7 linked regions of the Sus scrofa genome follow. The protein of the gene in region 4 interacts with the protein of the main gene of each other region in a biochemical or structural test. Links are inferred from orthologs where the notes say so. Each region holds a gene or a part of one and is shown on either strand. Other genes may lie near its edges.

Evidence for each region.
Region 1: the proteins of ERBB3 (region 4) and NRG2 form a complex in vitro, tested with the Homo sapiens proteins (2 studies listed by BioGRID). The link is inferred for Sus scrofa from reciprocal best matches to the Homo sapiens genes ERBB3 and NRG2.
Region 2: the proteins of ERBB3 (region 4) and TXK form a complex in vitro, tested with the Homo sapiens proteins (2 studies listed by BioGRID and IntAct, with this or other methods). The link is inferred for Sus scrofa from reciprocal best matches to the Homo sapiens genes ERBB3 and TXK.
Region 3: the proteins of ERBB3 (region 4) and RNF41 form a complex in vitro, tested with the Homo sapiens proteins (2 studies listed by BioGRID). The link is inferred for Sus scrofa from reciprocal best matches to the Homo sapiens genes ERBB3 and RNF41.
Region 5: the proteins of ERBB3 (region 4) and PTK6 form a complex in vitro, tested with the Homo sapiens proteins (2 studies listed by BioGRID and IntAct, with this or other methods). The link is inferred for Sus scrofa from reciprocal best matches to the Homo sapiens genes ERBB3 and PTK6.
Region 6: the proteins of ERBB3 (region 4) and CRK form a complex in vitro, tested with the Homo sapiens proteins (2 studies listed by BioGRID and IntAct, with this or other methods). The link is inferred for Sus scrofa from reciprocal best matches to the Homo sapiens genes ERBB3 and CRK.
Region 7: the proteins of ERBB3 (region 4) and TNS3 form a complex in vitro, tested with the Homo sapiens proteins (2 studies listed by BioGRID and IntAct, with this or other methods). The link is inferred for Sus scrofa from reciprocal best matches to the Homo sapiens genes ERBB3 and TNS3.

The regions. Positions count from the first base shown.
Region 1 is NC_010444.4:141,695,761-141,699,883, forward strand, and holds part of NRG2 (pro-neuregulin-2, membrane-bound isoform), read right to left. Parts: intron 1,439-4,123; coding exon 1,267-1,438; intron 1-1,266. UniProt on the Homo sapiens protein: Direct ligand for ERBB3 and ERBB4 tyrosine kinase receptors. Concomitantly recruits ERBB1 and ERBB2 coreceptors, resulting in ligand-stimulated tyrosine phosphorylation and activation of the ERBB receptors.
Region 2 is NC_010450.4:38,044,586-38,049,436, reverse strand, and holds the start of TXK (tyrosine-protein kinase TXK), read left to right. Parts: upstream 1-1,560; 5' UTR 1,561-2,512; coding exon 2,513-2,600; intron 2,601-4,851. UniProt on the Homo sapiens protein: Non-receptor tyrosine kinase that plays a redundant role with ITK in regulation of the adaptive immune response. Regulates the development, function and differentiation of conventional T-cells and nonconventional NKT-cells.
Region 3 is NC_010447.5:21,621,491-21,626,146, reverse strand, and holds the start of RNF41 (E3 ubiquitin-protein ligase NRDP1), read left to right. Parts: upstream 1-1,557; 5' UTR 1,558-1,756; intron 1,757-2,025; exon of another isoform or gene 2,026-2,335; intron 2,336-4,553; 5' UTR 4,554-4,656. UniProt on the Homo sapiens protein: Acts as E3 ubiquitin-protein ligase and regulates the degradation of target proteins. Polyubiquitinates MYD88. Negatively regulates MYD88-dependent production of pro-inflammatory cytokines.
Region 4 is NC_010447.5:21,493,052-21,495,836, forward strand, and holds the end of ERBB3 (receptor tyrosine-protein kinase erbB-3), read left to right. Parts: coding exon 1-153; intron 154-337; coding exon 338-861; 3' UTR 862-1,989; downstream 1,990-2,785. UniProt on the Homo sapiens protein: Tyrosine-protein kinase that plays an essential role as cell surface receptor for neuregulins.
Region 5 is NC_010459.5:62,543,178-62,547,959, reverse strand, and holds the start of PTK6 (protein-tyrosine kinase 6), read left to right. Parts: upstream 1-1,524; 5' UTR 1,525-2,506; coding exon 2,507-2,900; intron 2,901-3,154; coding exon 3,155-3,315; intron 3,316-3,833; coding exon 3,834-3,987; intron 3,988-4,462; coding exon 4,463-4,621; intron 4,622-4,782. UniProt on the Homo sapiens protein: Non-receptor tyrosine-protein kinase implicated in the regulation of a variety of signaling pathways that control the differentiation and maintenance of normal epithelia, as well as tumor growth.
Region 6 is NC_010454.4:47,681,971-47,686,554, forward strand, and holds the start of CRK (adapter molecule crk), read right to left. Parts: upstream 3,227-4,584; 5' UTR 2,462-3,226; coding exon 2,395-2,461; intron 1-2,394. Other genes in the region: uncharacterized protein LOC110255905, read right to left, coding at 3,742-3,938. UniProt on the Homo sapiens protein: Involved in cell branching and adhesion mediated by BCAR1-CRK-RAPGEF1 signaling and activation of RAP1.
Region 7 is NC_010460.4:49,003,354-49,007,476, forward strand, and holds part of TNS3 (tensin-3), read left to right. Parts: intron 1-3,445; coding exon 3,446-3,557; intron 3,558-4,123. UniProt on the Homo sapiens protein: May act as a protein phosphatase and/or a lipid phosphatase. Involved in the dissociation of the integrin-tensin-actin complex. EGF activates TNS4 and down-regulates TNS3 which results in capping the tail of ITGB1.

The sequences.
Region 1 (4,123 bases), on a different chromosome or scaffold from region 4:
GGTGCTTTGCTGGTAGAGACGGGCTAAGTCACCAGAGGAAGGAGTGAGTTGGTGGCACAAGGGCTCTGACGGTGAGTGCGAGGGACATGGAATGAGGACGCCCCACGTCCTCGACTGAGGCGAAGACAAACCCTGCCCTGATCTCTGCTGTCCCAGCCAAGTGGCGGGAGGGAGACGCGCCCCCACGGCTCCGGAAGCCTGTCCGCTCTTCTCTCCGGGCCTTGGAGCCTTGGCCGGAAGGGGTGAGGCGGCTCGGGAGGGGAGCTCGATGGGCAGCCTGCATTTCTTGCGAACTCTGTAGACTGGGGCCCCCACCTGCCGGTCTCCCTGACAAAGCAGCAGTCTTTCAGCCACAAGCCTTTGAGCACAAGCAGACCCTTCTTAAATGACTTTGTTTTTGCCTAGACTGCCCTCCAGGGTGACCAGTCCTGTTTTTGCTCCCCGTTACTGGAACGAGTCAACCTGGAAGCACCTCCCCAGCCCCTCTTCTAAAGTTTCGGGAGACTGAGGCTCAGGGCAGGGTGGGTGCGCTTCGGGCCACACGGCAAACCGGGAGCAGCCTGAGCCCAGACCACCTTTCCATCCCTTGCTGACGTGGGGCAGGTGGTGGCAGTGGGGGTGGGGTCCTCTAAAATCTTCATTTGCATTTTGGGGGGGTTGAGGAAATGACAGCTCCTCTACAGGGGCAGGAAAGGCTGGGGGTGCCCAGCCAGAGAGGGAAGTCGGGGCCCAGGGAGCAGACGGCGGGCCACGCTCCCCCAGCCAGCAAAGAGGAGGAGGATTCCTGTGCCAGGGTGCGGGGTTGTCTGAGACACAGACTCTGCTGGCACCAAAGCCATGGCCCTTCCCCCTTAACCTGGCTCTCTGCCCCCTGACCGCCTGCTGAGCCTCTCCTCATATGTGACCTCCCAGAAACATTCTGGAGTCCGAGTCCTTCCCCAAAGGCTGCCCAGTGGGGCTCTGAGACACTGGCAGGTCCTCGGAGAGGTTTTGGGGATAAGAGGGGGACCTCCACAGTTAAAAATGACATCATCGCCTCCAACCATCCCGGGACATGAATGAAGCAATGACCGCCTGCAAGACACGGGGCCAATGTCCCCTGAGGGACTGGAGCTGCCAGGAGAAACGGGGCGTGGAGATGAGGGGGTACTGACTGGGACAGGCTCCGGGGTGGATCTGGGGGCACAGCCTGGGCTCTTCCCTCTCAGGCCCCTCCCAGGAAGGAGGAGGGCGGCTGGATGGGGGGGACGGAGGGACATTGCTCACCTGCCGTTGCCGTACTTGATGCGAATGTCGCGGCTGCGGTTGAGCTCCTTGCCGTCCTTGAACCAGCGGTAGGAGGGCTGGGGGTTCCCGGCTGCTGCCTCGCACTTGAGCGATTGTTTCTCGCCCACCTGTCCCGTCTGGCTCTTCATCTTCTTCAGCTTGGGCCGGGTGGCTGTGGGGGTACAAGGCGGGAGGTGAGCGTGGTGGCGGGGGGCAGTGCCAAGCATGAGCAGCTGAGGCAGGTCCACTGTCTTGGGGGAGGTGAAGGGGGGAGCCTGGGGGCCCCCCTTTTGCCGTCCTTTCCTAGTCTAGATCGGCAAGCCTTTGCAGAGCGTCTGTGATGATGTCGGGGTGGGTACCTCCCTAAGCCTGGGGTTGTGGGTTCCCTCATGCCTCAAATGGTACCCGGGGCGCTCTCTACCTGAGCCGATAAAATAACGCTCAGAGTTCCCTGCGATGATCAAACCCATTTCCAGATGGGGAAAACTGTGGCCCGGCATGGTGAAGCCACTTCCCCAAGGTGATGGAGCTGGGATTCAAACCCAGGTCTCCGTGACTACGGCACTCACGATCTAACCCCTGCCCAAGACCCTAAGCCTCTGCTGGGCCCAGGGGATACAGCCACGGGTCCTGCCCTCAGGAAGTTCAGTCTGGCAGGGGCGTTGGACCCCGGCACTGACACCACAGCGTGGCTGATGGAGGCGGGGGGCTGCTGACGCCCTGAGGAGTGGCCCCAGCCTAGGCTGGACAGAAGCGCTCGCTCCGCTAAGAGCTGAAGGCTGGGCCAGAAGGGGAAGGGAGGGGGCCGGGCTCGGCAGGGTCAGCGCTGCAGTTTAGGAGAATCACGTGTGGTCTGGAGGAGGGGGGGCTGCCTTGAAGGGGTGAAGCGGGGTGGCTGGGCGGGGACGGAGCCTGGGCTACACTGGTGGGCGAGGCCCAGGCAGGGCTGCAGGGCTGCAGGGCTGCAGATGCCGAGCTAAGGGGCTTCTCCCACTCGAACACCGTTCTGTTTCCATGTGCCCTGCTTTCCCCTGCTTCACCTCCTGCTTCACCTCCTGCTCCCTATCCCCCAGCAACCTAAAAACAGGAAGAAAAAGTGCTCGGTTCCTGGAAAGGTGACGGCAGGGTGCGATGGTGCCCTCCCCCGGGACGGCCTCGAGGGGGGTGCCCGGGGCCCTCCCATGCTCTCCCTTGGTCCCTGAGCTCTGGAAGGCAGATGTCCCTGCTGACAGGAGGGTGAAGAGGAGACTCCAAAGAGGTCAAGAAACTTGGCCAGGGTCACACAGGCAACCACAGAGCCGGGAACAATGCCCAAGTGTCGGGATTTGCGATGTACCGGCTCAGGACAGGCTGGCATCTGCCTCTGCAGCCCTGAAGCCTCTCTTTAAGGAACAGAGGGCCGAGGTGAAGCTGTGGCCAGGGGGGTGTCTGAGGACCGACTGGCCCCATCTAGGCCCCTGGTGCTTCCCCCAGCAGCCCAGAGCAACAGCCCAAACTAGCTCTGGATGAAAACAGGACAGAGGGCCCGGCTCTGGATTGCGGGCCCCTCCCTGAGCCAAACCCAGTGCTGCTGCTTGGAGTGGGGAGGTGATGAGAGTGGGGGGTGTGGGGAGAAGGGGCTCCCAAAGCTTAAAAGTATACGTAGACTCAAAATACAGTACTTGCGAAGTGACTTTGTTCATTTTAGAAACCTTAGGAACATGGATGGATAAAAGAAAACAAAGCCACCCGTTATCCCAGGTCTCACAAGCAGAATACCCCCCCCCCACACACACGCCTATTTTTAAGCCAGTAACGTGCTCCTTTCATTTAATGAAACACTGCAAGCCTTTCAAGTTGGCATATTCAGTATTAATGTCTCCTCAACTTCGATAGGACATCCCTGTCCAGAAATGATGACTTGAGAAAAAGCCTGTCAGTTGGGGGAACATGTGGGGACAGACTCAACTGTCTTGATGGACTTCAGCCTGACTCCAAGTTGAGGTCTCGGAGCTTTTGGGGGGAACCCTTAGTAGCATCTCAAGGAAATAGTTATGGGGGAAACAAGTTCTACAACGTATGTATTTAGAGAGAGAATTTTAACAGATAACATAGTCACATGGTTCAAATTCAAGAAGTGAAAAAGGGTACATATGGCTTAAAAACAAGTCTCCTGACTTGTGACTGTAGCCACATGGCCGCCTTTCCAGGAGGCAACCGGTTTTCTTTTCTACCCCTTCAGAGATCTTCGATGCCTAGACAAACCCCGCTAGTATTGACATTTTTTCCTCTGTAGCCTTTTCAGGGTTGCATACTATTCCCATATGGGTGCATCATAATTTATGTAACCAGTTCCTATGGTGGGGCCTTCAGCTGACATTCTCCCCTTCCTTGCCACCCCTTCCCCCTTCCAAACGAGTCTCTTGGACCCTCCTTGCAGCCTCATCCAGGGTAAATAACCCGTGCACACTATCCTTTGCACATGTTCAGTGTATGCGGCTGTGCGGGCATGGAAGCTCCTGACTCAGAGTGCCTGGGTTCAAATCCAGACTTTGCTACTCCTTAGCTCTGTGTCTTTGCATCATTGTCTTAATCCCTTGGGGCCTCATTTGTTCATCTGTTTAAAAAAAAAAAAAAAAAAAACCCACAAGTGATTCAAAAGCAGCCCTGACCTCATGAGATGACGGCTGTGAGGAGCGTATGAGATAAGGCATGTAGAGCCTGGCAGGCACCGAACATTTAATACAGGCTGGCTATTATTATTCTGCACGGTTATTTCCTAAGGCCGTCTTCCTAAAAGTGGAATTGCTGTGTCAGAAGCGCACGCCGTCTCCCTTGGCTTCACACGTTGCCAAATTGCGTTCTGGAAAGGTCACGC
Region 2 (4,851 bases), on a different chromosome or scaffold from region 4:
GACTCCCTGCAGGCCTTAGTACATCAAAAAGGCAGCTCTGTGGGCTGTGTTTGAAGCACTGAGAGTCTTATCCATTTATGTGGGACCCAAAGAAAGCTGGGTACAGCAGGACTTGATCCCACAGGATTTATTACAGCTCTTGCTTTCCAAGAATGAACTGAGGCCTCCACACTGGATTTCCTTTTTTTTATGTGACATACTCAAGGCCACTTCCTGTACCATCTTCAAGCCTCATTAACAAGGGAGGGGTTCCTCTGTTACACACCAGGTTGTTGGGACGCAGACAGCATGTCCTCTAGGGTGACGTTCCCTTTTCCTTTTTTTTTTTCCGTCTTTTTTTTTTTTTTTTTTGCCCTTTTTAAGGCCGCACCCATGGCATATGGAGGTTCCCAGGCTAGGGGTCCAATCGGAGCTGTAGCCACCAGCCTACACCAGAGCCACAGCAACGCCAGATCTGAGCCACATTTGTGATGCACACCACAGCTCACGGCAACACCAGATCCTTAACCCACTGAGCAAGGCCAGGCATCGAATCCGCAACCTCATGGTTCCTAGTCGGATTCGTTTCTGCTGCGCCACGACAGGAACTCGGTCCTTTTCCTTAGTTTACACTGAGGATTTAGAGGTGAGGGCAGGCAACGTCAAGGTGAATGACCATCTACCTCTTTTGTTGATTGCATTGGCCTGAATACTGGAGCAGTGCTACCAGAGCCATTTCCTTCAATCAATGCTTAAATGGCCAAAAAAAAAAAAAAAAAAAAAAAAAAAAAAAGTATACATGCTGCATTTATAGAAAATCAAAACCTTTTGAGGAACACAAGCTGTGGCTGGCTCTTTCGAGCAGGACCTTCACATGACTGTGGAAAATCATCTTTCCATTCTGGTCAGTTCATCCCCTGAAGGCTGTCTTCTGTCCTTCCCTGTCCCCCCTTGCAGTAGAAAAAAAAAAAAAAATGTATCCTAAGTCTTGTCACAGTCTGTCACCTTCCTCCTCGTCTTCCTGTTGAAGTGTACCCCCATCACAAAAACATGCCCACCTTCTCACTGAATTGCTGCTCATTCAAGGAGCTGGCCCTGTGCGAGCTGTGTCCTGCTGTCATTGTCCTACTTTTCTCCTTCCCTCCCTCCATCACCTTGACGCCTCCCGCTCCTCCAACCATCCTTCCCTTCCAACCTTGGGACCCTGTTTAAAGTGCTGGAGGCTTTGAAGAGAGAGGAGAAAGCATAGCCCTTGACCTAACAGTTACCTTTAATTTTTTTTTTTTTTTTTTTTTTTTGCTTCTTAGGGCTGCACCTACAGCACATGGAAGTTCCCAGGCTAGGGGTTGAATTGGAGCTGCAGCTGCTGGCCTATGCCTCAGCTCATGGCAACGCCAGATCCCACCCGAATCTGCAAATTACACCACAGCTGGCAGCAATGCCGGATCCTTAACCCACTGAACGAGGCCAGGGATGGAACCCACATCCTCATGGGATACGAGTCGGGTTCATCACTGCTGAGCCACAACAGGAACTCCTACCTATACTTTTTTTTTTTTTTTTTGGACACCCCCCATAGCCTGTGGGAGTTCTAGGCCAAGGATCGTACTCGCACCACAGCAGCAACGTGAGCCACAGCAGTGACAAAGTTGGATTGTTAACCGCTAGACCACCAGGCAAGTCCAGTTATATATACTTTTGATGGGAAAACAAGATCAGATGTTTCCTGGCAATGTTTGGAAACATTTTCTTCAAACATCTTCAAATATTTCACTGGGACCTGAAAAAAAGTGTTTGTATAAAACCATTGCTATGGCAAAAGGAGAAGTAAAAATAGTATCCACCCAGAGTGCTTAAAAGAGATCTTAATCAATAAGGCAGGAAGTAGGAAGGGCACTGTGAATCTGCTGTGTCTTCAGTACAGCTGTTGCCTTTAGTTTTCGTTACTTTCTGGTTATTTTTCAGTGGGATGAAGTGAAACTCCTATGTGTATTTTTATTGTTGATAATGTTTTGTATTTCTCGGCCACGCCCCTGTCACCTGGGGATGGATTGGTCCTCCCTCCTCCCCGCCCTCCCCAGCAAACTTTTCTCCTATGATGCCTAAAGTGTTACTGCTGGGTGGGGGGACAGGAGGGTGGGAAGACAGAGCATTCTAGACTTGCCGATTCCAAACCTAGCATCGACTTCTGTCTCTGCCGCTAACTGCGTCTCTTAACCTATCTGTGCCTCCGTTTCCTTCTCGGTCCAGAGAGAGCACTTTGAATTCATGCTCTTTTTTTTAAGGTCCCTTTTGACCAAAATCTGGTGATTTCTTGAAAACGGTGTTGCTGGAGTCACCCACACAGTTGGGAATGAGGAGCCTGCTAGCTGCTGCCTTCAGAGATCTGGATGGAGATTACTGCGTTTACCTCTTAAATAGGCCATCGGGCTGCCATTCACACACTTCTCTGAGGTTTTCAGAACAGGAAAATAGGTGGGGTTAACTTGGCCCATGAGAAACATCTTGGGCGAGCTATGATTTCAGTTAAAAGATGTGTTTTTGTGACGGGAGCGCCGCCGAAGACCTGAGGGCTGTTCTGTCTGCTCCCCGCGCAAGTGCAGCCATGATTCTCTCCACCTGTAAGTAAGGCGGCCCCGTGCTTGATCTTCTGGGCTTCTTCTGGGCACAGCGCTGACTCTTGAATGCCAGAAATGATGAAACTTGGAAGATCATTTCCCCAGATGTTGCGACAGGGTTTTGATTGTTATTGAAAGAACCATACATAGTGGGGATGTCCTTTTAGAAAAGGGTCAGCATTAAGAACGCACGATACAATGAGATATAGTGCCCTTAAATCTACTTGTATATAGAAATGCGATCTATCGGAAAAGATTTGTATTTAGAATATTTCATATAAAGAACTGAGGGCGGAAGTCTTGGAGACCAAGTTCTCGTTGGGAATGTGCTGCGACCTTAGTGGGTCACCTTTGGTGACTTCTTTTATAGCAGGTCCCCACCTGCACAATGGGGACTCTTTTGGCCAACCCAGCAGCAAGATCTTATAGAGAAACAATGCGTTAAACATGACAGGTCCTTCATGAGCTTAATTTTGGAGCTGCTTTGGAAGACTCTTCAGTCACCTGTACAATTTTTAGAAATGCTTATCAGTGTACCTCTGTGATTCAGAGAGCTTTATCGTGCAAATAAGTTAAAATTGGGAAGAAAAAGACTGATTCTAATTCTGAATGACTCGCTGGGACCAAGCTTCATCAAAGCTCAGTCATGTCAGACTAAAGCCATCAAGGCCAGCTGAGAAAAGTTTTTGCAGTTCTGATTTTTAAGTGGCGTTAGGGAAAATTTATTGCAATTTTTAAATGTCATCTGTTTAAGCCTCACCACCTCATCAGACCCAATTTTTATTTATTGCAAAAAATAAAGCAGGCTCTTCCACTTGTACTTGCCTGAATTAGAGCTTACACTCTGGATCCACACATGAATAAAGATAGGGCTGCCTGTAAACAGAAATATAAGGCAAACCGAGCAGAAAGAGCTAAGACACAGCAAGCCCTGTCCGCCCATACTCCAACAGCAGGACTTAATAAGAACAAAGATGAGCAGTGACTTAATAATAAGAACCTTTCCATGAAAAGCCAACTCCTGAGGTCAGAGCTAGAGAAAAGGCTGTAAATGATGACAGGAAGGATTCAGCTATATATAAAATAAGTAAAGGTGAGGATTGAGACAAGGATTAGATTGCCCAAAGAACTGAATAAGAGACCACCTCTTAGTGGGGAGATTTTGAGCATCATTCTCTCTGGCCCGGAAGGGTGGGGGCTTAATGAACTCTCACTGTCCCTTCCAGCTTCTGATAATTTGACTCAGTGCTAAGTATCACTCGTTTGCTTTCTGCCATAAATTGCACTTAGATGTGGCTCCGTTTCCTTCTGGGTGAAACAGTGAGTGTTTACTGTTGACAAGAGAAAGCCAGGAGGTGCCCCACGGTGCATTAATGCAAAAACATTTATAGGTGTTTGCCCAGCTAGAGTCATTTGGGAAATACCTTGGTTGTTGTAAGGGCTGTCATAGAAGTCTGGCCTCGCAGGCTGTGGCAAGGCAGGAGGAGATCACTGTGGCATGTGAGATGTTGATGGTACTGACTGGTGGGCAGAGCCTGTGGGAGGTGCCAGGGGACTGCTCCAGGGAAGGTCAGGTTGTGAAACACAACTGGTCATCTCTCCCAACTTACAGCTGCTCTGAGAACAGACCCCACCTGGGAGAATCATTTAGGGGATGGGGCCCAGGGAGAAGTGCTGGGGGGCTCGAAAAGCTGACCACCTCCCTCCCCTCCTGATTTCTCCATCGTTTCTTCCCAATGAATGAAGTAGAAGGACAAATAATAATTAACTGGCTTGTAAGTCTTAGTGTGCCCGAAGCGTGGCTAGGATACTGTTAAAATGCAGTTTTTTGGACTCATCTCCATCACTGGGTCTGGAAGGTAAGCTAAGAATGCACAGCCTAAAAGTTGAGAGCTAAGTTTTATTTGGGGCAAAATTTGGACTTAGGAAGTTCTCGTCGTGGCTCAGTGGTTAAGAAACCCAACTAGTGTCCATGAGGACTTGAGTTTGATCCCTGGCTTCGCTCAGTGGGTTAAGGATCTGGCATTGCCATGAGCTGTGGTGTATGTCACAGACACGGCTGGGACCCTGCATTGCTGTGAGCTGTGAGGTAGGTCACAGACCCGGCTCAGATCCCCTGTGGCTGTGGCTGTGGCTGTGGCGTAGACCGGCAGCTGTAGCTCCGATTCAACCTCTAGCCTGGGAACCTCCATATGCCTTGGGTATAGCCTTAAAAAAAAAAAAGATAAAATTAGGGTTTAGGGCTGGGAGACAG
Region 3 (4,656 bases), about 130 kb from region 4:
GGGAGAATGCGCTAAGAAGGCGCTAAGATTTTTCTCTCCTAGACCTGACACAGTGGAAAAAGAACCAAAGGTTTTTGGAATTCGGCGGACGAAAGTATGAAATCTGGCTCATCACTTCTTTTCTCGACAGTTCTTAAATATGATTGCATCTTGCAGACGAGAAAACGAAGTTATATAAAAAGCAGTGCCTAGCACACAGCAGGCAGTTTCCTCCTGTTCTCCAATTTCTCTAACCTGCATCTTTATTTCTGATTTAGATTCCTCATCTTTCATGCATTATCCAGCTTGGTCAAGGTCTCTGGAGAAAGTCGCACTCACACGGGAGACAATAGACACACACCCACATCCTTTGGAAGTAATGGAATTGGGGCACAGAGAACAACATTTGCATTAGTCCCTCACAGTTTGATCAGTTTTTTTTTTTTTTTTTTTTTTTTTTTTTTTTTTTTTTTTTTTTTTTTTTTTTTTTTTTTTCGGCATATTCCAGGAATGGCTGAGCCACCAGAGCAGCACGCAATCGAGGCGTTGCACCACCTCACCAGTTTGCAAAGGAATCAGTTTCTAATGGACACAGTTTCTAATGCACTTATCTCACTAGATCTCAGGGTCCCCCCTGAGGGCTGAAGAAGCCCTAATCTGTAGTTTCCTTTGAGACTTGTTTCATAATCAACAAAAGGTAGCTAGCTCTGTAAAGTGTATAAACCAATCACATATAAACAATGTACATACATGTGTATTACTATTTGCTTAGAGAATATCCATAATAAATACTGCTTAATATCAGATTAGCCTAAGAGGCTATATGATTGTAATGCTTTGGTTTGCTTAATCAATCCCTTACCTTCTCCTAGAGGGCTTTAGACTCCACCTTGACTTTCCTTGGAGCTCAGGTTCTCTCCCTCCCACACCCCCAGCCACGGTGTTGTACCCTAAGGAAATCAAACCACAACCCCAGAAGAGGAGCATTTTATCTCCCTCTCTCCCCTTAGGTGTTTCAAGGAACTGTACGAGCGTTCGGAAGGTCGACGTAAATACCGCAGGAGTGTAGCTAGGAGAGGCAGGCAACCCGCTGAGCACCCTAGATCAAAGTTTTCCGATCAGACACTCCCTCATTCCCCACCCCGTGGTCGCCTTGTTGACTACAGTATCCATTCCCATGACTATGAGTCATAAGATCGGCTCCGGGATGCTGACCACAGCTCTGGAAACGGGAGAGGGGCCGGGCAGACGGCAGGTCACACTGCAGGCCGGCCTCCTAGCGACGATCTCGCACCAAGCCGCATCAGCTTTAGGGCACGGAACCGGTGCACCCTTCGAAATAGAAGTCTCGCGCTCCGGGAGAGTCGGCCTCCAGCTCGGCCCCCGACTTTCAAGCACGGAAGAACATAGAGTCCTTCCTCCCAAATGGCTATACAGTTCTCGCTGGGACCATAAAGACTTCCGGTGTGGAACGGAGGCCTGGCTAGCCCTCACTCTCCTCGTTGGCCGCTCGTGGTTTCTAGCCCAAGGCTGAGTTAAACAAAGGGGCGGGGCTTGGTGACGAGTTTCCGCCAGGTTGCGTAGCAGCGGTGGGCGGGGCCAAGGCTCAGTCTCACAAGGCGACGAGTGGTCGGAACCTTATCCCCTCTCCTTCTCCTTCCCCTTCCCCTTCCCCTCCCAGGATAGGCTGGCACCCGGCACCAGGGTTATCCCGTGGCTGCTGCGGCCTCAACTCCAACGGGTCGGGGCACGGAGAGTCCAGACCGCTTCCAGGGCGGTGCGTACGGCGCCTGCGCAGGCTCCCACCTAAAGGAGGGCGTGGGAGGGGAGGGGGCGATGTCCCAGGGGGATTGGGACCGGGGTTCGAGATTTTGGAGGTCAGGCGAAGGGACGGGAGTAAAGATGAAAAATGGAGGAAGGGAGGAGTCCAGAGGTGGTAAAGGAGCGCTGGAGGGTGCCTTGTTGGGGAGGCCCATTGGAGTGTGGGAGCCTTAAGAAGTACGAGAGGGGGCCTAGGCCGGCTGGAGGACCGGGGGGGGGGGCCGGGATTTGGGTGCACAACGTGGTATTTAAATGGACAGTGATTGACGGGCCGGAAGGGTAAGCAGGGAACCATCTGGGGGACAGCCTGCGCAGGGGCGGTGGAACCTGAACCCCCGCCCTCGAAGCGCCATAGCTTGGCTCCTCTCCCATGCCTTGTCTTTGGCAGCCTTGTCTTCCTCCTCCATTCCTTTCCCCTCTCTCCCTCCCACCCCTCCATGAAGGAATCTCACATTCCTTACATCCGTGACTTGAGTTTGCAGCCAGTCCCTCTTCGCGGGCTTCACACACCAGAAAGCCTTCTCCAAGCCAAAGCGTAAGAGAAATTGAGGAGTGAGGAGGAGGGGGCTGGAGAAGGAGCAGAAAGCTGAGAGGGGTGAGGGTGTTTGGCATTGGGACAGACAGACATCTTCCCCATTCAGAAAGTAACTTCATTCCACCTGGTAGCAAATGTGGCTGTTAATGAGACCACTGAGCCACTGTCCTTAGGGACCGGGCTGTGATAGTGATAGTCTAATCCCTTTCTATACAGGTGGTTTTAGTCTGACAATAGAACAAGAAGCTGATAGTGTTGCAGGCTGATAGTTTTCCCCTAGTTAGGAATGGGGTAAGACTCATGGAGGGAATCTGAGTGTTGCAGTAATATTACTGCCCTGTGTGTCCAGCCGACTTTGCGGCTGTGGCGGGTTCCCAGTATTGGGGAAGAAAGTTTCTTTCAGGCATTTCCTCCTGGGCCTCATGGGCCGTCTGAATTTACTTGGCATTCTATTACTGCAGATATCTTACCTGAGAATAAGTGGTATTCAGTTTCCTTTCACATTTATTATGTCATTTGACAATATGTAAGGTAGGTAAGGCAGATATCATTTTCCCTATTTGAGAAGTGAAGAAATTGCAAACTACAGAAGTGTTACATGGCTTGTTAAAAGTCGTATAGCTGGCAGAGCTGGGACCAGAACCCAAGTCTTCTGACTCTTGGTCCTCCTCTTAATTGAAAAATCCTGTTTTGTTCTGGTCAGGGGAGCAGTAGAATAGGATTGGTTTTCCCAGGATTGGTTTTCCCAGGGTGGATAACTTTGCTTTCTGAGTCTGGGCCTTGTCACGACTAGACAACAGCACAGGTTCCTGGAGACATTTCTCGAGGTACAGGTCTATATGCCAGGCTGCTGGGAAATAGGTTCTCGCCAAAATGGAAGCAGTATTATACTGTCCTCTGTATTATGGAGGGGGAGAGGCATATCAGCTTCCCCCTTACCCCCAGCTGCAGGGCAGAGAAAAATGAATCTGGCATTGCACCTTTATCTCTCTGATTTTATTTATTTATTTATTTATTTTTTAGGTCCGCACCCATATGGACGTTCTCAGGCTAGGGATAGAATCGAGGCTGCAGCAGCCAGCCTATGCCACAGCCACATGAGATCCAAGCTGCATCTTCGACCTGCAGGATCTGAGCTGTGTCTGCGACCTACACCACAGCTCACTGCAAAGCTGGATCCTTAACCCACTGAGCAAGGCCAGAGATCGAGCCTGCGTCCTCATGGTTACTAGTCAGATTGGTTTCTGCTGAGCCACAACAGGAATTCCTCTGACTGGTTTTAAAACACCACACTAACATGTTATGGCTGATGAGCATGTATACCAGACTTAAGATGAAATGGTCTGTTTTATGCATAAAAATTGTTATCTTGGAGTTCCCTGGTGACCTAGCAGTTAGGAATTCAGTGTTGTCACTGCTCTGGCTCAGGTTCGATCCCAGGCTTCTGCACGCCTCGGGTGTGGCTGAAGGAAAAAAATCATCATTCTGTTCCTTCCTAATTTAGCCCTTCATCTTGAAAGATGTAAAGGTGAGGAAAGGAATGTAAATAGTTTCTAGTCTCCTGCATCTGAAGCCTTGTCTCTCTCTTCTTGGTTTCATCCTTTTAGTAAGGAGAGTCTGGTTAGCCAAATCATACTGCTACCTACAGTCTTCCCAGTTGTCTACCCTGCAATAATTTCCTGATTTTTTTTTTTTTTTTTTTGAAATCTTGATCCCTCTCAGGAGTATTTCCTGACTTAGAAAGTAGAATGGCACCTGTGCCAACATTCTTGAGTATCTTCTTATGAAGTAGTGTTTTCCAGGTGGAGAGTAGGACAGAATTCTTTTTATATGAAATAATGTATGGGAAAGCACTTTGGAAACATTAAAGCATCATGGCTCTGTGTGTTGTATAGCCAAAGATTTGGACTCCTTGACTTGACTTGTAGTCGTGTGCCCTGAACAAAAGAATGGTTTTCTATCTCAAACAGCTCCTTTTCCCTCCCTTTCTTCTTGTCTCTTTCTCGCCCCCTCTCAGCTTTGTTTAAAACATCTGGCCCCTGCGTGTGATTCCTTAGCTGATGAACTCTCTCCTTAGAGGGTAGCCCTGAAACCTCTAGTCCCTAATGGACTTGTCTCTTTCTCTTCAACCGACCCCCAGATCCAAGTCTGTCTCATCTCATTGCCAAGTGCAGGTAGTTCTCCTGACTCACCTTTTCTTCCTTGTTCCTATTAATAGAGCGCTCCTGATTGTGACATCACATCCATCCCCTTGGCGATGGAGCTTGTCACTAGGAAGGAAGACTCAGTCGGAGAATAGCCAACAAGATGGGTTACTGGGA
Region 4 (2,785 bases):
GTAGAAGCCGGAGCCGGAGCCCTCGGCCACGAGGAGACAGTGCCTACCATTCCCAGCGCCACAGCCTGCTCACTCCTGTCACCCCACAGTCCCCACCAGGGTTAGAGGAAGAGGATGTCAATGGTTATGTCATGCCAGACGCACACCTCAAAGGTGCCTGACTCCCTAGTCGCTTCCTCAAATCTTTCTCTACTCCTCCTTCTGCAGGCTCCCCTTAATCCTTTTGTCTTCGTTCATCATATCCCTCCCTATTCATTTTTTTCCTAACCGCCCCCAACCCCATTGCCTCTTTCCATGGAGTTCTCCACATACTTAGCTGCTCTTCTCAACCCCCCAGGTACCTCCTCCCGGGAAGGCACCCTTTCTTCAGTCGGTCTCAGTTCTGTCCTGGGGACCGAGGAAGAAGAAGAAGATGAGGAGTATGAATACATGAACCGGAGGAGAAGGTGCAGTCCAGCTCGTCCCCCAAGGCCAAGTTCCCTCGAGGAGCTGGGTTATGAGTACATGGATGTGGGATCAGACCTCAGTGCTTCCCTGGGCAGCACACAGAGTTGCCCACTCAACCCTGTGCCCACCATGCCCAATGCCAGCACAACTCCAGATGAGGACTATGAATATATGAATCGGCGACGTGGTGGAGGGGGTCCTGGGGGGGATTATGCAGCCATGGAGGCCTGCCCAGCAGCTGAGCAAGGGTATGAAGAAATGAGAGCTTTCCAGGGGCCTGGACACCATGGCCCTCAGGTCCATTATGCCCGCCTCAAAACTCTACGTAGTTTAGAAGCCACTGACTCCGCCTTTGATAACCCGGATTACTGGCATAGCAGGCTTTTCCCCAAGGCTAATGCCCAGAGAACATAACCTCTGCTTCCTGAATACCTCAGGGAGCATTTGATGGCAGCTAGTGCCTCTAGAGGGTACCCCTCTTCTCTTTAGCCCCTCTCCCTCACAGGTCTCAGCGCCATTTCCCTAGTCCCAGACAATTCCATTCAAACTTTGGAGGCCTTAAACGTGTTGACACAACGTTCTTGTGGTATATAGCCAGCTGTGCACTTTCTTCTCTTTCCCAATCCCAGGAAAGGAGATAGTTTTCCTTATTTTGTGCTCTTTCCCAATCCTATTCCTCAACTTTCTCAGGGGAACTCCCTGGAGATATGAAGGATTCCTCCCCATATCCCTTTCTCTCAGACTCTGACTTGTTGAGACTAGGCTTTAAAGTGTGACTTTGTTTCCCAGCAGACTTTTAAGGAAGAGGAAAGGAGGGAAAATGGCAGGAGAAAGTGAGATTTTTGGCTTATGATTCTTAACCCCCTAGAAAGAATGAGATGCTTAAAAATCTTGTGAAGAAAGAGGTTGGGAGTATATAGTAATGATTACTGTTCATTGAACGTTGACTGTGTGCCAAGTATCATCTAAACTTACCCATCTCACTTAATCCTTGACACCAATTCTGTGAGCTAGGCATTATCCCATTTTACAAATAAGGAAACTGAGCCTTAAGGAGATTAAGTAAATCAAGTAGCAGGTCCAGGATTCAAAATTTTCCAATGCACCATGCTCTTAGTGTAAGGTGTCAAAGAAAACTGATGAAAGTCAGAGCACTAGTAAGAGGTATTGTCTTCTTGTGTTTGCACTGAATCAAGTCTAACCCCAATATCCACAGCCTCCTCCTACACCTGGACTGCTCATCTCAGCAAGTGGGAGTAAGGGGGTGGACAGAAGGAAAAATAACTGGACATCTCTGTGTAAACCGTAATCTTCGTGTGCTACATATGATATCTGCCTAAGGGACAGACTCAGACGGTCCCCAGAGCCATTTTTTAGGAGCAGTTCTCATTCAGTAGTGGGAAGCTTCCAGTGGAGATGAAAAAGAGGACCCGGCTTCAGACCTCAGTTCCTTTGAATGGGAAACTGGGAGTATCTGTTTTTATCCCTCAAGTTTTTGTTTTGTTTTTATACATGTCTGAATAAAGATGCCAAGGTTTTGCAGCTTCTTGTCTAACGACAAACTTTAGTGAGTGGACAGATCAGCCCTTTTCTCCGTTCCACAGCAGAGAATGGCTACCATGGCATGCTTCCTTCTCTGTCTCCCCACAGTCCTACTTGGCCCCCTGTAGCTTTCTCCAGCCCCACTTTCCTTATAGTCTCTTTAGACAAGCAAAGGGTACAGTCCTTTTCATTTAAGCGTTTTACTAGGAATCTGTATAGGGCAACCGACTAACTGGGAGTAACAAAACAACCAAACAAAACACGTTTGGGGCAGTTAGAAAAGGCCCCAAGAGGTAGAATACTGAAACTCTCAAACGTTTCACAACTTTAAAAAAAAGTGTCCGTCTTAGGTGCCATCAAAGCCTGTTGTTGGAACAATAGTGCCATCTTCAGAGGGAGCCGGCCTCTAGACTTGGAAGGCTGTACATGGATAATCCCACAGAAATCTGGTGCCCAGTTAGTCCCTGCTCCACGCACTCCGGGTCTCCTTCCACACTCGCTCTGCCCCTCCCAGCACCTGAGGACGATCGGACTGGCCAGGCCGGTCCGCCTGCCGCTCCAGGGATCCGAGGAAGGGCGTACCCAGCCTCCCCGCCCTTGATACAATCACCCCCACTCGTCTCTGCTCCACCCTGCCCCGCAGCCTCCAAACCCACGTCCCCGCCGTAGCTCCGCCCCCTTCTCCCTTAGCCCGCCTCCCTCTATTACGGGTTCTCGCTCAGCGCTCCTGGTGGATATGGTTTTTCCGGGAGAGACCACGCTTCCCCTCATGCTCTCCAACGGCTCCGCCTTCCCG
Region 5 (4,782 bases), on a different chromosome or scaffold from region 4:
GGGTGCAGACAAATGAATCCCCAGGGACTGCTTAGAGAACAGAGTCTGTGCCAGGTTAGAGAAATTGGGGGGGGTGCTTCCCAGAGGGGTGGGTGGGGGCCACCATAGGCAGAGGCAGCCCAGGGGGAGCAGGAGGGGACAGGTCACCATCCCCCTGGCCTGGGTGGACAGTGGGGGCGGGAGGGTCTGGCCTGAGCCTTTAGGCCTGTGCCTCGACCTGCCTCCGTCCTGTCCTGGGAGGGCCCAGAGCGAGGGCTGGAGCCAGACTCGCCTGGTTCTGGGCGGTTCCCAGACCACTGGAAGGGATTGCTCTCTCTTTCCTGGGAACCATGGTGTGCGGGGCCGGGCTGGCGGGCGGGAGAATGCCCTGGGCGGGGAGACAGGACAGGTGCGGTCACTGCTCCACCCCTGGGCCGTCTCATGGGCTCAAGCTCAACAGGTTTGGTGCTGGTGTCCTGGGAGGGCTCGGACCTTGGCCTTGGAAACTTCTGGCTTCCTGGTTGGTGTGGGCCCACGGCTCCCAGGCAGGGCCAAGGCCTGAGGGGCAGAGCACTCTACTCACAGTGAAGGGTGGACTGCGGTGGGGGGGCCTTGGAGCCCAAGGGTGCCGAACAGCTCAGCCGGCCCTTCTGTCCCTCCCCTTGGGCCTGCCCCTCCTGCTCAGACCTGAGCAGGCTGTGCACTTCACTCATGAACCTGAGACATACCCTCCTGATCTCAAAGTGAAGGGATCGGTGTCCCCACGCTGCTCAATAAAAGCGAAAGCGCCAATGAGTAGGGGCCGTATGATGTGAAGTCCCCTCAGCCCTCAAGGGGCTGGAGGGTGGGGCCAGGTGCCGCGGGTGAGGAGCAGGAGAGGCAGCGCCTGTCTCGGCGTCCAGCAGAGACTCAGCTGCCAGCTGGCTGTCCCTGGGTCTGGCTGTCTCCTGGGAGGTCTGGGGCGGAGCGCCTTGGCCCTGGTCCTCCAGCCCCGCCTCGCCCCCTGGCTGAGCGCTCACCAGCCTCCTCTGGGCAGCTTTCCCACAGCAGGCGGGCAAGAGTGCCCAGCCTGACCTGGCCCAGGCGTGGGGGGATGGGTGGGGGCTGTTGGGGCCCTCAGGGCAGAGCCCAGGGCGCTTGGGGAGGCCATCCTTGGTGGCACAGGTGTGGCTGGCCCAGCCACCTCATCACGAAGGTGGGTGGCGGCTCAGCGGGGCGGGGACGGCCTGTCAGGGTCAGCCCTGCCCACGGGCTCCTCCCAGCCAGGGCTGCCTGAAGCTGGACGGGTGAAGGTGGCAGGGCACCGGCCATGGGGTCCCAGGGCCAGGCTGCCCTGGGCCCCAAGTACATGGGCCTCTGGGACTTCGAGGCTCGGACGGCCGAGGAGCTGAGCTTCCGGGCAGGGGACCTCTTCCACGTGGCCAGGAAGGAGGAGGAGTGGTGGTGGGCCATCCTGCTGGACACGGCGGGCCAGGCGCTGGCCGAGGGCTACGTACCCCAAAGCTACCTGGCCGAGAAGGAGACAGTGGAGTCAGAGCCGTGAGTGTCCCTGTGGCCCTTGGAGCCTTTCCAGGTGGCCCTCTTGGGCTCAGGGCAGGGTGGCTGTTGGGACAACTCTACCCCTGTGGCTGGGCTCCAGGTGGGGACAGGGGCACCAAGCTGGCCAAGGATGGGGCCCATGGATTTGTTTCCCTGTGCCCCTCCGTGGGGCTGGACCTTCCCTCCTGGCCTTGGGACCCCTCACTGGGCTTCTGACATCTCCAGGGAGGCCACAGCTGCCACGCAGTCACCTGCTGGTGTCAGGACCCAGGGGGCCGCCTGCTGACAGTGAGGGGTCTGCACAGGAAGCCGAGGCCGAGGCTGGGCCTTTGTTGGAGCAAAGCTCCACTCACCTTCCAAACACACAAAACCAGACTGGTGGCCTAGTCAGAGGAGCCGGGAAGGCCATTGCGACACGCCCGCCCTGGGTGTGGGCCACGGACGTGCTCCCTGTACCAGCATGGCTGCCCCATCATGGGCAGGTGGCTCTTGGTGGGCGGGGCCATAGGGCAGCCGTGTGCCCAAGACCCATTGCACCCCATCCCCTCCTGTGCGCTCCTTCCACTGGGCGCCTCCTGAAGAGAGAGCAGCAGACAGGACGGGCCAAGCCCTGGGCAGTGATAATGCAGGGGTCAGAGCCATTGCCAAGGCCCTGAGGCCTGGGGACTCAGCACATTCGAGAGGTGCGAAGGGGCGGGAGGCTGGCGGGGAGAGTGGATGGGAGCGATTCCAGAGGTGCTGGACCAGTGGGGGTGGGCATGGCCCGCGGGCTCCGTGCCGGCCGTGCCCTCCCCCGGGGCCCACGTTCTAACGGGACCCTGGAGTGGGGAGTGCAGAGGGCAGAGCACGGAGGCAGAGGTGTCCGGGGAAGGACCGCAGGCCCCAGCCTGCCCTCCGGAGTCCAGGGCTTGTCCCTGTGCCGGCTCTGGGGGCGGGGGAGCAAGGGCGCGTGTGGCTGCACCGTGTGGGTGGGTGTGCGCGTGGGTGCATGTGGGTGAGTCCCAGGGAGCCAGAGCACAGCACCCAAGGTTGGGGGGCTGCTGTCCCCACAGAAGGGGGTGGCTCTGTCCCCAGAGCCAGGAGACACCAGGTAGTGTCCACTTCTGGGTCCCCAGGGCCACTTGGGACCCTGGGGGGTCAGTTGAGGGGCAAAGAAGGGACCTTGGGGTCAGTGAGTGTCTGCAGGCAGCCATGTGCCAGCGTTGGGCAGGGCGGGGGCACAGCCAAGGTCTCCGAGGCTCAGGACCCCCCACCTCGCAGGTGGTTCTGCGGCCCAATCTCTCGCTCAGAAGCCTCACACCGGCTGCTGGCCGCAGGCGTCGAGCAGGGGGCCTTCCTGGTCAGGACCAGCGAAAAGCCTGGCGCCAACTACGTCCTCTCGGGTACTCCTCCTCCACTGCAGCCCCCCGCCCCCGCGCCTGAGTTGGGGGCTCCCTTCCTGCAGGCAGAGACCCCCCACCCCCGGCCCGGCTCCCCACTGCCCTGGGCATCTGGGACCTGCAGGCCCTGCCCGGGGAACTCTGATCCCTCAGTGGGTTGGGTGGGGTCGGTCTGGGTTCTCTCCGGTCGCCGTTGGGGCGCCCCCCCCGAGGGTGGGCTGCTCTCTGCCCATTCACGAGCGGGCCCCCCCATCCAGTGCGGGACAGGCAGACCGTGCGGCACTACAAGATCTGGCAGCGGGCCAGCCGGCTGCACCTCAGCGAGGCCGTGTCCTTCCCCAGCCTGGCCGAACTCGTGGAGCACCACAAGGCCCAGAGTCTGTCCCACGGCCTGAGGCTGACCTCGCCCTGCTGGAAGGTAGGGCCCCTGCCACAGCCAGACCCTTGCCTCCCCCCCCAGGCTTCAGCCCTCTCTCCTCAGGCGCCGGAACCCTCGGGTGGCGGTGGGGGTGGGTCCTGACACCCCGACTGACTGGGGACACAGCCTGGGGACGCTGGCTGCCTGGGAGCTGTGACTGTGCAGAGCTGGGGGTGGGCTGGGGACGTGCCCCCCCTTTGCCCAGTCACTGTCCCCGGGGCCAGCCAGAGGTCAGCGGAGCTCTTGCCACGCCCTAAGTCTCCAGGCTGGTGGGTGCCTGGGGCCAAGGGCTGGACGGGAATTCTGTACGAGTGGCACTCAGGCCAATGTCACTGGCCCAGAGCAGGTGGGGGGGGGTGTGTTGGCAGGCATTGGCCAGGCCACGGGCAGCCCCCAGGAGGGCCAGGGCCACACATCCCAGGCAGAAGGCGGTCCACACTTGAGGACAGGCCAGCGGCTGTCCGCCTGCAGGGGTTAGAGTGGGGCCCCCCTGAAGGGCTGGCCCTGTGCCCCTGCAGCATGAGCCCGAGCCCCTGCCCCACTGTGACGACTGGGAGAGGCCGAGGGAGGAGTTCACGCTTTGCCGGAAGCTGGGCGCCGGCTACTTCGGGGAGGTCTTTGAAGGGCTCTGGAAGGACAAGGTCCGAGTGGCCATTAAGGTGATTGCCCGAGGTGAGTGCGCCCCAGGCCGGGGGCAACTGGCCTCGGCCCCGGGGTGGGGGGCCCTGCGCTCCGAGCCCCACTCGCCACCCTGGCTTGGACCATGGGGCACCTGCTGCAGCTGCTGGCTTTCTTTCACCTGAATGCATTTACCTTAAAAGGGAATTTCAAATTCTTAATGTAAATGAAAGGAACGCCATTAAAATAGGTCTCTAGGAATCTGAAGAGGTTCCCCGCAAACCTCCCAGGGGCCCACCCCCTGCAGGAGCCGGGGCCGGGGCTGCAGGGAGCTAGTGCCGGCTCCCCAGCTGGCTGGGCCAGGTGTGAACCAAGTGACGGTACTGGTGGTGCCCAGGGCATTGGGCGGGCAGGTGGTGGGCACAGAGGACCCCACGTAAACCGTGGGGACCAGGCTGTGTGCCCTGCGTCAGAAGGGGGGCCCGGGTGTCATGGGGGCACTCATTTCCTGAGCGGCCTCCCCCCGCAGACGACCTGCACCAGCACGCATTCCAGTCGGAGATCCAGGCCATGAAGAAGCTGCGGCACAAGCACATCCTGCCACTGTACGCCGTGGCGTCCCTGGGGGACCCCGTGTACATCATCACAGAACTCATGCCCAAGGGGAACCTGCTGGAGCTGCTGCAGGGTGAGTGGCCACGGTGCGCCCGGTTTCAGAGATGCCAAAATGGCAAGTGTCTGTGCTCAAGGCTAAGTGGCCTCCGGTACGCATGTGTGTGCCTGGGCGTGTGTTTTAACACGTCCATGTCTGGAGTGCTTTCCACGTGATCGCTGCAAGCTGCTGCCACA
Region 6 (4,584 bases), on a different chromosome or scaffold from region 4:
TAAGTAGTAAGCAGCAAGCAAAGAAGGTTCAAACCGGGCTTCAGAGTACGAGCTTTTAGCTACTCTCCTAACTCATACTTAACTCAGTTTTATTGATTGTCTACTGGACAAGGTCTAGTAAAAACCTCATGTTCCACAAGAAAGAAACTAGTGGATCAATCAATGATTGCAAAACCTTCCTAAGAAGTACACCTGCAGAGTATAACCAGTAGACTTGACCAAGCCCTGCCCTTTGGCCCTGGAGCAGTAAGGGCACCTCCAGGCGATGGCAGCACTGATAGCCTGGGAGAGCTAAACAGTTAAGCTAAAAATGGGTTTACAGGAAAAGGTTGAGAATTCCTGGCCTATTCTGTTCCTATGCCTCTAAAATCTCTATCTAAGACATTCCATCCAAATTCATCTTATGCCTATATCCACAAAATACATTATATAATCCTAAACAAAAAGCTTATTTCCCACATTCAATCTGCCAAAAAAGGTTATTAAAAGCCTCAGCATCACTGACTTTAGACAGCAGATGCCATCTTCTTTCTTTCTTTTTCTTTTTTTTTTTTTTTGCTTTTTAGAGCTGCAACCGCAGCATATGGAAGTTCCCAGGCTAGGGGTTCTAATTGGAGCTATAGCTGCCGGCCTACGCCACAGCCACGTGGGATCGGAGCCACCTCTGCGACCCACACCACAGTTCATGGCAACGCCAGATGCCCAGCTCACTGAGCAAGGCCAGGGACTGAACCCAAATCCTCATAGATACCACTGCACCACAACGGGAACTCTTGAAGGCCATTTTCTTGTCATCCTTTCCTTTTGGTCTTTAAGCAGAACCTGGGACCCAAGACAATGACAAAAGTGTTCAGTCCTCAAGGGATCTCAAAAGGAAACTGGCTTTGACAAAAAAAAGAACACAGTCCAATAGTGTCTGATCTCAGGTCACAATTCCTAGGTTCCAATTCCGGCTCAGTCATTGACTAGCTGTGTGACCTGGGGCAAGTTACTGAATTTCTGACCCTGTTTCTTTACCTGCAAAATGGAATTTTGCTTTGTTTTGTTTGCTTTTTAGGGCTGCACCCCCAGCATAGGAAGTTCCCAGACTAGGGGTCAAATCAGAGCTGTAGCCACTGGCCTATGCCACAGCCACTGCAACTAGGGATCTGAGTCACAAATAAGACCTACTCCACAGCTCATGGCAAAGCCAGACCCTTAACCCACTGAGCAAGGCCAGATATCAAACTTGCATCCTCATGGATACCAGTAGGGTTTGTAATCCACTTAGCCACAACTGGAACTCCCTAAAATGTAAATATTTTAATAAATGGAAATCACAGTAATTTCCTCACTAGACTGTCATAGACAGTAAACGAGACAAGGCACTAAAGTACTCAGCAAAGTACCTGGCACAGAATGACCAGTCGATAAATGTTAGCTATTAATATTGTATATGCTTAAGTTCAAGAAATTCTTCTGTGTGGTTTCCAAAGAAAAAGAGCTCAATGGGGGCTGGGCAGAACAAAGATTAAGTAATCTTTAAAAAGACGCAACTGAATCAATTGCCCTATGTGGAAAATGGGTACATGGCGGAAAGAACAATTACAATAGCCATGAACTTTCCACACCCCATCCACAAACTCTGGCAATCTTCACCTTCTCTCTTGGGCCAAGGATCTGACCTCCTATCTGTTATGAAAAGGTGGAGCTCAGTATTAAGGTAAGATCTGAGATTAAAGTTCTAACACCAAGATGTGGGGAAAGCTCAAACAAAACTGCCTGCCATTTCCAAATTTTGTAACCAACAAAACACATACACAAACAAAAGGTCAAGAATTGAGTTCCAATGATCATTTGCTGTGTCACTGCCCAGCAACGCAAAACCCCAGACACTAGGAAGGTGGTAAAAACTCGAATACATCCGGTTTAGGGTAAATACATGTTACATACCTATTCCCATCTCAGGTTATAATGTTATAAAACCAATCAGACTGAGAAAGACCTAGGATAATTTGTGGGCTTAAAGATTCCACACTCTTTTTAAAATTGGTATGTGTTAACAAGAGAAACTATTTCATCTTCCCATTTCGGGTCAGAGGGGATAAATCTAAATTAGGATTATTCTAAAAGGGCAAGTCTGCAAAGGGCTAGTTCAGGAGACTTTCAATTCATGTGAGACTAGCCTGAATCTAGTTTCAACTGGTCAGGAGGAAACTGCTTCAGCTTGGTGAGCGTGAAAAGGCACTAAGACCCTAGGTGCTGTTACACAGGTAACAACAGCCTCAGAATTACTCTGTACCTCACAAACTTCAAGTACCAAGTGCATAAATCCTCTTCACACTCCCCAAACAGCCCATGTTATGTATAAGACAGACATATCTAGGAAAATTCAGGCAACAACCCCCAACCTACTGAGCAAGGAGAGACCCTGCAGTATAAGACTGACAATGCTGAAGTCCAAGGAAAAATGAAGTTCCATTCACTTTCAGGGAAGGGATTGTTTCCATTGGCGTATATCTGGTTTATTTCCTGAAAAAAAAAAAAATTCTTTCCTCCACTATTCGCTTTGAAAACTACAACCCCTTAATTGTCAAAGACAGTCGCTGGACACCAGGATCTCCTCGGCACAGTCAGCCGGGCATCAGCTTATTCTGGGCTGGTGACAGGGGACCTTTCTTCTATAACCAAGGCACTTAGCTCACCACCTTCGTCCTCCGCGGGGGAAGAGGACGGTAAAAGTATTTTGGAAAAATGCCCAAGAAAGGAAAAAGCTGACCGGTTTCCTGAGGGTGTCTCCATCCCTCCCGGCCGGTATGCGGTGACTTCCTACCAAAGGCCACCAGGGGAGTATAGCCAAACCCGGCTCTCCAACACTGCAGGAAATGTTTCAAGCCTAAAAAGCCACTTGTAGGATTATCGGATTCATTCCGGGCACCGCTGCCAAGTGATGCCCCCGCAGTGCCAACATCCCCCTCAGCTCTTTGTCCCCACGTTGCCTGGCCCTGCACGGGCGCTAGCCCCACCCTGGGGCCGAAACAGTTCCCCTTCCCCTGGGCTGTCCTCCCAAGTCACACCCAGAGGCCTGGGTCAGCGGCTCCTCCTCCCCCACACACTCCCGCTCGTCCGTGGGAGCGAGCCGGACAGCGGGCTGCCCTCCGGCCACGGTCACTCCAGCCCGCTGCCCAAGTCCCTCGTGGGGGTCAGCTCTCGAGGAGCAGCCGGCTAGGCTGGGGAGTTCGGCGGCCCTAACCCCCGCCCGGGGCCTCCCGTCCCTTCCGTCCCTCACCGGGCGGAGGCTGGGCGGGCGACGGTGGCACTGGCGGGCGCGGGCCGCTGCTGTTGATGATGTAGTGGGAGACGCGCGAGTTCTCGGAGACGCTGAGCACATAGTCCCCGGGGCTGGTGCTCGAGTCCCGCACCAGGAACACCCCGTGCCGCTGGCCCTGCAACAGCGCCACCGCCTCCTGCCGGCTCAGCCGCCCCCAGTACCAGCTACTCCGCTCCTCCGAGTCGAAGTTGCCCGCCATGGCCGACTCCGCGCCTACACGCTGGGCCGCCGCCGCCGCGCGCGCCCCTCCAGTCCCGGCGCCCGCCGCCCAGCGGACCGGCTCGGGTCTCCGCTTCACAGCAGCGCCTGAAATGGCGGCGGCGGCCGCGGGCCTTCCCCACCGGAAATGACGTACTCCCTGCCTCCGGGAGGATGCCGGGAAGGGGACTGCCGCCCGCCATTGGGAGAAGGGCAAGGGGCGGCTCGCGCGCTCACTGCGCATGCGGACTCTTGGGCGTCGCCGCCTGGTGGGGACAGGGACTGCAGAGAGTGGAGAGGCGGCGTCTAGGGCCGAGGGGCGGGGCCTCAACTAGCAGTCCGCAGAAGTTTGTCTGTGCGCTGTTGGCCACGCGGTTCTGGCTAGTCCAGGCTTCAATTTCCTGGAAGGCCCGGTGCTTCTGGGCAGCAACTAGGAGACAGAATTGGAGTAGAAAAGGTGATGTGGCCTCAGGGCCTGAGTTCCCTGAGACGAATATTTTCTGAATATTTTCAGATCTGTTAAGCTCTTGTTTTCACTGATTCATTCAGCAAACAGTTGACACCACGTTTGCCTTTCGGTCGCAGAGGTCATCTAGGCTGGGCCCTTCCCTCGGGGAATTCTCAGACCCCGTGGGAGGAACCAGGAAACAGGCCATGACGAAGGGATGCCAAGCCATTTGATGGGGGTAAGGACAAGGGGCTCTAGGAACATAGAGCAGGGCCCCCTAATCCATGCTTTAGAGGAACCCAAGAGTACTTCCCAGTGGCTTGAGCTGAATATTGAATGGCAGTTGGGGAAAAGCATTCAAGACAAAGGGACCAGAGTGTGCCAAGTCAAGGAGACATATGGAGTCCTCTCTGTTGAGGCTTTCAAGTCATCTGCCCAGATTCTCTAAGTCTGGCCTTGGATATCCTCTACTCTCCCTGCCGTCACGATCACTGCTATCTCTATATTCCATATCTATATCTGTATTCCTATGACAGCCTGTCTCTGGTATTCTATAGTCTTGCTGCCCCTAATTGCATAGCACACATCTGCCAAGTTGTATTTTTCTCAATTATAGCTCTGAGTGTGC
Region 7 (4,123 bases), on a different chromosome or scaffold from region 4:
GCTGAGCCACAAAGGGAACTCCAGCTTTTATATATCTTAAGAAATTTTTAATTTGCTTTCATTTTTGAAATATATTTTACTGGGTGCAGAATTTTAGATTGGCATTTTTTTTCCTCAGTATTTTATCTTGTTGCACTGTTTTTTCTCTTTCTTCCTTAACTTTTCTTTTTTTTGAATAAGAAATCTGCTGTTATGCTAATGGTTGGTCTCTTGAATATAATGTGTTCTTTTCCTCTTTATATATATTGTTTTTTCAGATTATTTTCCATTATAGGTTATTATAAGGTATGGAGTATAGTTCCCTGTGCTATAGTGTAAATCTTTGTTGCTTATCAGTTTTATGTATAGTAGTGTGTATATCTTAATCCCCAACTCCTAATTTATCCCCCGTCCCTTTCTCCTTTGACAACCATAAGTTTGTTTTCTAGTCTGTGAGTCTGTTTCTGTTTTGTATATGGGTTTGTTTGTGATTGGATTTGAGCAATGTGATTATCTTGCATTTTGGTATAGTTTATCACATTTGTTATGCTTGAGGTTTGTTGAGTTTCCCAGGCTTGTGATTTTATAGTCTTCTTCCTATTTTGGAAAAGCTTCAGCTGTTATTTCTTCAAATATCCCTCCATCCACTCGTCCTCCTTCAGAGGCTGCTTACTGATGCTCTGTTTATTTCCTAATTTACTTAGATGGTCTTTTCTCTTTCTGTCCTTTATTTTGGGAAGTTTCTATGGTGATATCTTCAAGTTCATTCATCTGTTCTACTGCAGTGTCTAATCTGCCAGTAATTGCATCCAGTGTATTTTTTTATTTCAGATTTTACATTTCTTGTATAGATGTCTGGTTTGCATCTTTTTATACCTTTCCATCCCTACTTACCTTCTTGAACAAATGAAATCCAGTTATAATTCTTCTCTTAGTATCTTGTTTGCCTATTCTTGTCAGTTCAGGGCCATTTTTAATTAATTTATTATTCTCACTGTGGATTGTGTATTCCTCTGGCCTTGTACGCCTCCTGCTTTTTGATTGTATACCAGATAATTTGTTGATTGGATAGCAGACAAGGTGAATTTCACCTTATTAGGGTGCTGGATATTTTTTTGTTCCTCAGATATTCTTGGGCTTTGTTTCTTTTTTCCCCAGATGTTCTTGGGCTTTGTTCTGGAATGCAACTAAATTACTTGGAGGTGGTATAATCCCTTCTAGATAGGCCAGGCAGAACGGGAGCAGTGCTCAGGTTAGAGTTAATCATTTCCCATGATTGAGGCAAGGTGCTTCTGTGTCTTCTGTGCTCATACTCCCTGCATCTTGAGGTTTTCTGGTCTGTGTGTGGGAAGAGGCACCCTTCCCAGGTCTGTGGGAGCCCTGAGCTCTGTTTCCGCTAATCCTCTCTGGTGGTTCTTTCCTCCCCCTTAGGTAGCTTCCTCAAGCACATGTGCATGCACACACACCCACACACACACACACACACACACACACACCCACACACACCCCCCTCAGGACTGTGCTGAGCCCTTCCACAGATCCTGGGTTCTGCGCAGCTATCTGTTCCCTGCTGCTCAGGCAAGTAACCTCTTGCTGGCTTATTCTGCCTAAACTTTTCATTCCTTTGCTTCAACCCATGTTGTGCACTGGTTCCCCCTTCCTTCTCTGCATCCCAGAAACTTTCTCCAGGTAGGAATTTGGTGCCATTATAGCGCTCACCTCATTTTTTCCTGCCTCTGAGTTTCTAGATAGGTTTGTTTGCTTGTTCATGAACATCCAGTAAAGCAAATCATTCTGTGTGCTCTTGAGTCGGATGTCTTTCATTCAGCAAAATAATGCCTTTGATGTGCACCCACGATGCTACATGTTCTACATGGACTAGTAACTTGCTCTTGTGTACACCCGAAAAGCATTCCATTTTATGACTTCTGTGGTTTGTTTATCCAGGCTCCTTTTGATGGGCATTTGGGTTACCTCTTGTTGGGGGCATTTTTAAATACGGTGGCTTTGATGATTTTTGCAGGTGTCTTTGTGGCCATGTTTCTTATTTATCTTTTTTTTTTTTTTTTTTTGGTCTTTGTGCCTTTTCTAGGGCTGCTCCCTCGGCATATGGAGGTTCCCAGGCTAGGGGTCTAATCGGAGCTGTAGCCACTGGCTTACGCCAGAGCCACAGCAATGTGGGATCCTAGCTGCATCTGCAACCTACACCACAGCTCACGGCAATGCTGGGTCCTTAACCCTCTGAGCAAGGCCAGGGATTGAACTCACAACCTCATGGTTCCCAGTCAGATTCGTTAACCACTGCGCCATGACAGGAACTCCTTATTTATCTATTTTTAAATTTATTTTATTTTGTCTTTTTAGGGCCACACCCATGGCATATGGCAGTTCCCAGGTCAAATCAGAGCTGCAGATGCCAGCCTCTGCCACAGATCTGAGCCACATCTGTGACCTACACCATAACTCTTGGCAATGCTGTATCCTTAACCCACTGAGTAGGGCCAGGAATCCAACCCGAGTCCTCATGGATACTAGTCAGGTTCATTACTGCTGAGCCACAGTGGGAACTCCCATATTTCTTTTTCAGTGTCTGTGAGAGAGGAATTGCTGGGTCATAGCATGGGTGTAGGTTTAAAAATCTGTACAAAAAAATTGTCAAACTATTTTCCGAAGTGCCGTTTGTCTCCTGTTCTGGGTAACATTCCATCTCCTTGGGGAATTGTAACTCTCTGGGGGTGAGCAGTGGCCTTGTGCATGCATGGCGTACCAGTCATCACAGAATGAGCGCACTGTCACCCATCAGCTAATGGCAGTATGGCTGGTGTTTGGTTTCTAAGGCAGATTGAATTTTTATAAGCTCCTCCGATGCAGCTGTGCGCCTTGGCACAGCAGACTTGGGTTTGGTGGCTGACTGTTTCGTCTCCTCCCAGTGCCAGTGTGTGAAATGGATCCGATGCTCTACCAGGTTTAAGAAGGAACTGCCTCTCTTGTCACCCCGGACTGGTGACCACTCGCCCTTCCGTATATCTGTTCAGAGGGACTAAGGGGCCAGAAAGGCCAGTCGGCCGCCTCTGAGCACCATCGTGTTGTTTATAATTGTTTCTTCCGGAGGAAAAAGTGTGAAGAAGGGGGATGGGGGGCACAGGGTGGGGGAGATGGGGCGGGGGCACGGGGTGGGGGTGCGTGTCACAGAAGGGATGGTTGTAAGCGACAGTCTGGAAGCGCAGCACGTCGTCACGGAGGCCTGGCTGCCCTTCGCCCCCTGGATTACAAGCTGGGCGCCTGGGGGCCTCCCTCGGGTACCCGAGCCCCCCGCCCCCGATCCCGGCCTTGGCAGGGTGGTGTTTTGTTCTCCTCTGGTCGCCTGGTCAGGTTCCTGTTGCGGTGCTTCCCCAACTCCGCCGGAAAAAGGAAGAGCAGGTGGACCGAATGGAAGCGCTGAGCCTTTGTCCTTTTCCTTTTCCAGCCGGAAGAACTCACGACGAGTCTGCACAGTTTTAAGAACAAGACCTTTAAAAAAGCCAGAGTCTGCGGGGTTTGCAAACAGATTATCGACGGTCGAGGGCTGTCATGCCGAGGTGAGTCCTTTTTTTTTTTTTTTTTTTTTTTTAAATTGCTCCATGAATTTTATTACATTTGTAGTTGTGCAATGATGGAGGTGAGTCTTCATTTACCGTTCTCATGCTGATGAAATCAAAGCAAACGAAAAACCAAAATGAACCCTTCTCTTGGGGAGTTTCCAGAAGTTACTAAGTCGTGGAATTCCCCCTGTTAGCCTGACTTTACCCCGACCGACCGTCGCTAGACTGGGACTGCCCTACCCGCACAGATAGGTGCTCCTGAGAGATCATTCCAGAAAGAGCAAAGCTAGTCGAACGGGCGAGGGAGCAGCAGCAAGGGGTTCCTGACTCATTTTCCGTCTGTCCTGGGGTGTCAGTAGCTCCGGTTTATTCTCTTTTACTTTCTGATCTCGTGGCAGCGTTGACAGATGAAATTTTTCTTCTCTCTCTATGAGTCAGGGTTCCTTGTACCCCTGCCCTTCCAGCCTGTCGTCAGGCATCGCTCCTGTCTGTAAACAAAGCCACCAGCTTCAGTATTTAGTGCTTAATCCTCAGGTAATCAATGCAACTTGCTGTTTTTTTTT